Xenopus tropicalis: one gene and its partner. The protein of the gene in region 1 interacts with the protein of each later gene in a biochemical or structural test. Links are inferred from orthologs where the notes say so. Each region holds a gene or a part of one and is shown on either strand. Other genes may lie near its edges. The genes, in order: ppfia1 and git1.

Region 1 (3,830 bases):
AAAAAAAAAAAGCTACAAATACATAAATAAACAGTTGGTGGCCTGAAAGGAGTGTAGATGCAACAACACGGTATATACCCAAGGGTAACCAAAAACAAGCACACTAAGGGGCATATTTATAGTGTGTAAGCCAACATCGCCGGTGATGTTGCCCACAGCAACCAATCAGATCTTTGCTTTTGTTTTCTAACTTGTAGGTGACTGTTAAAATCTAATTGCTGATTGGTTGCTATGGGCAACATCCTCTGTGATGTTGGCTTACACACTTTAATAAATGTGCCAGTACAATTCATTAGGTTCCATCTGTAAAGGAAATCCCCAAAAAAGACACCAGTTATAATATTCTGAAGGGCCACACTAGGCAAAAAATGATCCAGCCAAGGCATCTGCTGAACAAACCAATCAACGAGGGGTACCCTTGCAATGTATTCGGCCAGATATTGAATACATGGGCCGAAGAATCAGCTGAACACCCTTTGCCAGACAAGCTCTAAAACACACTGGCTAGAACACGCTGGATAGAATTTAGAGCCTAAAGCACAAAAATCTGCTCAGCTACAATGTACAGTGTATGCAATACAGCACATCAGCAGAAGCCCAGAGGAAGACGCAGTAAGCACAATGTCAGTGTTACTTGCCTTGTCAGCTTCTTCTTGACATGCACAAAAGTCCTCCCAATCCCAGTTCAAACATATAACAGGCTCTATACAAGCACTGGGAAGCTTTCAGAACCCAGTACCCACCAGTCACAGGTACAAACCGACCAACCAGCTCAGCATTAGTCACAAAAATCACAATAAAGTAGGGCAGTGGTTCTATTGGCTGGAGTATTGCTACTCTGTATTCTACTCTTTAGGACAGCACTTCCCAAACTGTGGTATTTTAGAACACTGGACCCTCAGTTATCTTCAGGCAGGTGAGATTTTCCAATTAAAGGGGAACTCACCCAAACACAACTTTTCGAAACAAACATAATTTGAAGCAACTTTGTAATATACATGAATAAAAAAATACGCAGCCTTTTCATAATGTCTAATGTAATAATAGGGATTGGAACAGTTCCCTAAGCCCCGCCCCCTGTTCCCCTGCTGATCTGGCTGACTACTTTGAGACTCAAATAAAATGTAACAGTAGTCACCTGTTCTCAGCCTGTATCCTCACAATCCCACAATTCCCTGCACAAGTCATGTCAACAAGGAAAGGAACATCACGGTGCAATGCATTGTGGGTAATGTAGTCTTTGCATACTGTCTGTAAGCTGTTACAATTTGTAACATCAGTGTTTTAGTCCCTCCTCCCCTGAAAGGATTTCAGATGATGCAGGAAGAGAGGAAGTGTTTTGCACCTGGATTTCAGCATATAAAAATGGAATTTATTCATTCTTTTTAAGGGAACAGATTACAGTGATAAGTACATTAGGGTTTTATGTGTAGTGTCTTTAACACATTTCTGTAGTTCCCCTTTAACAATAGATATATACACACACACACATATATTTAGTCACATAAACAAATACAAACTGATACAAAGGGTAAAAACACCCCAAAAAAGCCTTGTACCTGCGGAAGGGCCGTGTTCAGCTGCCTCTGGAGAGAGTCCCGCTCATGGCTGGCTTCCTGGAACTTGCTCTGGCTCAATGCTAGAGATTCCTGGGTTTCCCGCAGTGTGTCGAGCAGTCGGTCTCTTTCCTCCAACATGGACACCATAAGCTGCTCAAAATGAGAATCGGAGTCTGCCTGTAAAGGAGACCCGGAGCCATGGCCTCCATTGCCCCCGGATGGCATCTCAGCCTCGCTAATTGTTGGCATCACTTCACACATCATCTGTGGAAAGGAAGGAGAAATCAATTAGCCGATTGGTCGCCTTTAATGAACATTCATTGGCATAAGATCAAATCCACGCCTGACATAGCAAGCAATAAGCAGTAATAAGCAGGTAACGAACACGCTCGTGTTTAGCCACAAACTCTGAACCAGGTCCTGTTGCACGGCTGTGTTGACATGTTTTCCTGCTAAGGTGTCAGACTAGAGAAACACCCAGCCCTGTGTAACAGCTGATAAAACCAAAGCAGGGATGGGTGTTGAGTGATCTGAAATCCGTGGCATAAAAGGGAAGTAAAAGCTGATATTTACACAACAGACAGCCATATAGATCACCCAGACTGCTTACAGTACTCACAGCAGGGTTATCTAACCAGACTCCGCACAGCTGCTGCTGAACTGCAACTCACACAATCCCTTAGACAGTCAAAAGAGTAGTTTCAGGTAACTAAATTGGATATCCCATCTACAACATTACAGAAAAGAGCTAGCTTGTTTCCTTTCTCTTCTCTGGTTCTGACTCCTGCAACAATGTAGCAGAATCACTTTTCTTTAGGTCTGTCGCTTTGGCCTCTGCTACATTTTTTTAACCCAGTAATTAGGAGAATATAAAACAGCCAGGTATATATGGTAATCAGGGACCTTCCCATTATATACAGGTATGGAATCCGTTATCCGGAAATCCATTATCCAGAATTACGGAAAGCCTGTCTCCCATAGACTCCATTTTAATCAGATTTTTAAAATGGATTTCCCGTTTTTCTGTAATGATAAAACAGAACATTGTATTTGATCCCAACTAAGATATAATTACCCCTTATTGGGGCAGAACAGTCCTATTGGGGTTATTTAATGGTTAAATGATTCCCTTTTCTCTGTAATAATAAAACAGTACCTGTACTTGATCCCAACTAAGATATAATTACCCCTTATTGGGGGCAGAACAACCCTATTGGGTTTATTTCATGGTTAAATGATTCCCCTTTCTCTGTAATAATAAAACAGTACCTGTACTTGATCCCAACTAAGATATAATTACCCCTTATTGGGGCAGAACAGTACTATTGGGTTTATTTAATGGTTAAATGATTCCCTTTTCTCTGTAATAATAAAATAGAACATTGTATTTGATCCCAACCTAGATATAAATAATCCTTATTGGATGCAAAATAATCCTGTTGGGTTTAATTAATGCTTTATTGATTTTTTAGTAGACTTAAGATATGGAGATCCAAATTACGGAAAGACCCCTTCTCCTGAGCATTCTAGATATAGGAGCCGTTATCCAGAATGCTCAGGAGAAGGGGTCTTTCTGTAATTTGGATCTCCATATCTTAAGTCTACTAAAAAATCAATAAAGCATTAATACAATGAAAAGAAGCCCCTGACCTGCACCAGAAGGAGTTTCATGTAATAAAATCCTTCTCGGAGCACTTTGTGCTGCCATTAATGGGGATCCTTTATACCAAATTAAGCAGACCTTAGGTGTATAGCCGGCTTTAGTATAACACAGAAAAGTAATGAATTACACCACACCTTTAATTGGAATAGAATTCACTCAGTCCAACATAATAAGGCTAATTAACATGCTTGAATAAATGAGACCTAAGGCTACAGGAAGCCTGAATAAAAATGCTTTACACATAGATCGTTTGATGTAGAGCGTAATAACTTAAGAATTTGCAATTGGTCTTCATTTTTTTTATTATCTGTAGTTTTTCAATTTTAGTTCAACAGCTATCTGGTTGCTAGGGTACAAATGACCTTAGCAACCAGGGAGTGGTTTGAATGAGAGACTTCAGGAAAGGACCTGAATAGAAAAGTAAGTTATGAAAAGTAACAACAATAAATCTGTCTACCCACAGAGCAATAGTTTTTGGCTGCTGCTTCAAGTACAGGTATGGGAACTGTTATTTAGAATGCTCGGAACCTGGGGTTTTGCAGGTAAAGGATCTTTCTGAAATTTGGATCTCCATACCTTAAGTCTACTAAAAACCATTTAAATATTAA
Region 2 (3,643 bases), on another chromosome or scaffold:
CACAGGCAGCATAGGACAGGCAGAGTGCTGCCTGTGTGTGCCATACTCTGCCTACCCTATGCTGCCTGTGGGAGGTGAACCTGGCAGGGGTTTGTTCTGGGAGTTTGTTAGCAGTTGGAAATAGCCATTAAATGGTCCCTAAGGTGTGTAATTATATGCTGGGGGTTGCTGTGCTATCCACAGGGGAGGAGGAGGCATATGGATGTAAGGGTGTGTCTTAATATGACATAATTCTTTAACATATGAATGATGGTTGATATCCCATTGTGATAAAATGGGTGTGGTTTGAAGTGGGTGTGGTTTAAAACGGGGGCGTGGCCAAAACTGGCTTCCATTAGCGGCCCTCCACCATGTATGCAAGAGAAATTCCGGCCATCGGCACCGCAGAAGTTGGACAGCACTGGTCTAGAATGTCTATATTCACCTGTAGAGTTAGGTTTTCTATAATTGGAACAGAGACCTAGCCAAAACCAACAAATCAGCCCCAGACCATTACTCCTCCTCCACCAACCATTTCCAATTGGCATGATGCATTCAGGCAGGTAGTGTTCCCCTGGCATCTGCTAGACCCAAACTTTTCCATCAGACTGGCATGTGGTGAAATGCAATTTATCCATTTATTTCACCAATACCATCCAAGAGATCAATCTCCAAGAATTCAGCTTATAACAGACTCCATGGGACACATTCCATTGTTAGTTGTTTAATTTGATACAAATGTACAATATGAGCAATTTTATACATTACACCCACCACCAAGCTCTCACAAATAACAGGATGGAGAAGGTCGGCCATTTTGCACTAATCTGTATGAACAAGTACGGCAAGGGGGGAGCTGAGAGATTCTGAGCAGCAGGTTTTTTAAAATACAAATCCCCAGCAAGATCAGTGGGTGGCAGCGGGTCCCTCTCATGTAGTGGCTTCTGGGAGCATCTTGTAAGAAGTACAATCATTTTGCCTACTGTGTAAGAACAAAGCTTGCAGATACGCGCGGATGGAACAGCAGGACCGCTGCTCACATTCAATGCCCAAACTACCTTTAGTCTAACCTTACGGCGCTAACCCAACAGCAACATTATTCCGGAAAGATCTAGCCAATATGAAAAGATGGCTTCATGTATGAGGTCCTTTTTCTGTCCTTTACAGTCCATTTAGCTCCTTACGGCTTTCCAAAGAATGCAAAGGGGCATTTGCTGTAAAGAGCAATAGACTTTTGGCCACTAACATAGAATAAAAGACAACGTTACTAGTCCTTGCCATAATAAAAAAAAAGGGCATCTGCTTGCATGTTTTTTGGCACAGAAAGTGACACACAGAAACAGAGAATTGAGGAATCTACACTCTTATTCCATTTAATCTAGCTTTTTATTTTGCCCCCTTCTTACAAAAACATAACGATCTCCAAAAATATAAGTGACTTCTACTTGGCAGCAGCAGGGTCTATATCTCGCCACAGCTGCTTTGTTTTTATGTATTTCCATCTTCTGTGTAAAGAGATTTCCATAAGGCATTATACCGGGACTGTGCAACCTGTGCCCTCTGCCAGTATCAAATATGGCTGCCAAGAGCTGCAATCCATTACAGCGAAAAAGCCACAGGTTGGCATCCCTTGTTTTGGCAAAGGCAAGCATTCCTACAAAGCCAATCTACTAATGAAAGTGGATAATTTTTCATCTGAATGTGAAATTCAGGATACAAATTATATGAGTCATTTCCAGGGTAATAATTGGTCAGCTTGTGGGGGTTTAAAATTAATTTAAAAAAAAAAAAATTCAGTTGGTGTGTGGATTCTACCCAATAGAAGTGTAAGGTCTCTGCCAGCGGCTGTATCTATGGCAGACACTGGTAACATTACTTACGGCAATAGGTAAAATGTTGCGACTCCCACACTAAGTGCAGGCCCCAAGGATACGGCAAGCATAAAATCCATTGGAGCAGCACTGCCAGTGGGATACTGAGCCTTACATTGTACTTCACGTCAGCAGGCAATATATATATATATATATATATATATATATATAATATACATGATTTTGATACATAGACATCCGGGGAGGAGGCAGGGTTAGGGTAGGGGCCTGTCTGCCACAGGGTGCCTAAGAAGTCAGTGCAAACATCAAGTTATATTTCTGGCCACTCTGAGCATTGCCGTTGTGCTACTCTTTAGAGTAAAACATTAAAGTGGTTATCATATCAATTATTTAACAGTCGTCCAACATCAATCCCCCTACTGTTCACATAAAAAATGCTTAGTAAATATTATATGTATATATTCATATATATACACACGCATTGATTCCAGTGTATGTTTAGCATTGGCCTTGATCACATTAATAACAATCTGCGGCACTGCATGGTAAGGACTGGCTGCTCTAGTGCTGGAGCGAATGCATGTCCGGCTCAGCATGAGTCTTGTGCTTTGCCTAGTGTTTGCAGCATGGCGCATGTAACTGCCACCTATGGATGAGTGCTGCCCCCTGCTTGGTGCCAGGGAAGTGTATGTGATTGGCTGCCTGACACAGGCTATGCATGGGCCCTGCTCTAGAGCAAACAGACTGGGGAACATACAATGTGCACCTTTAGCTGCTGTCTATTTGCTGCATAGTACATAGTCATGATGCCTCCTGCCTCAGGGTGCTGCCTGGTCACAGCTAAAGGGTGCCAAAATATGCAGCCCCACAACACAGCTTCAATCACACGCGTCATATCCTACAGCACAGATTACATATTAGTCTCTTCAAACCACTATCAGAACAAGGAAATATGAAAGACTATAAAAGGAAATTGTGCTATTCTGGAACTCTATGATTGCACCTTTAAACTTAAATAAAAGGCGCTGGTTACAGCTCTGTGGGGCTTGGGGTGACATATTCTAGCTGCAGTTGCACACAAGTACATTATGGAACCTGATCCACCTGTACTGTGAGAACCACTTGTACTGTATACTCTGTTCTGCTACATATGATGATAGTGATGGGGAGAGAATTTCACCCAGGCCCAAATCTTTACAATAGGAGAACACACAGGACTGTACTTATATTGCAATCATTATATTCCTTCAGCGTTTAGCGTTTGTTAGGAACGTCCAACCAGAGAGTACAGACAGTAGGATGGTACAGAGCAAGGTCAGTATTGCACATATACAGGGGGGTTATGGGGCTGCACATTTCATCCAGCTATTGTGGAATGTAGGAAGCCAATTCCTAGGGTTAGAGGGGTGACGGGCTGTGCCCGCCCCTCGGAGTCATGTGTGAAATATGAAAGGATAGCAAAATTGATTGCAAATTGACAGTTTGGAAATGGAAATGCCAGTTGGCTGCTGGAGTGGTCACTGCTTCTTCTCGCGGGTGGTGATGGTGACCAGCTGTTTGGCAGCTTTTGCGATGTCATAAGCGCACTGGATGACCTGCTGTGTCAGAAGTTGGAAGTCCACAGAGGCCCCAGGTTCTGGCGGGATGGTTTTGCGGCACTCACTTTGCAGTCGGTAGGCGCTAGCGTTCAGTAGCCGCAGTGATGATCGCACTGTCTCCAGGGCAGGTTTCTGCCACAAACACAGGAGAAAATACAGTGGAGGTTAGAGAGTCACTGGCCAACTGCATAGGGGATCCATGTCTTCTACATCACTGGGAACTAGTTACATCCA

What was found.
Region 2: the proteins of ppfia1 (region 1) and git1 form a complex in vitro, tested with the Homo sapiens proteins (2 studies listed by BioGRID). The link is inferred for Xenopus tropicalis from reciprocal best matches to the Homo sapiens genes PPFIA1 and GIT1.

What each region holds. Positions count from the first base shown.
Region 1 is NC_030680.2:14,493,372-14,497,201, reverse strand, and holds part of ppfia1 (liprin-alpha-1), read right to left. Parts: intron 1,824-3,830; coding exon 1,560-1,823; intron 1-1,559. UniProt on the Homo sapiens protein: May regulate the disassembly of focal adhesions. May localize receptor-like tyrosine phosphatases type 2A at specific sites on the plasma membrane, possibly regulating their interaction with the extracellular environment and their association with substrates.
Region 2 is NC_030678.2:32,819,838-32,823,480, reverse strand, and holds the end of git1 (ARF GTPase-activating protein GIT1), read right to left. Parts: intron 3,542-3,643; coding exon 3,329-3,541; 3' UTR 688-3,328; downstream 1-687. UniProt on the Homo sapiens protein: GTPase-activating protein for ADP ribosylation factor family members, including ARF1.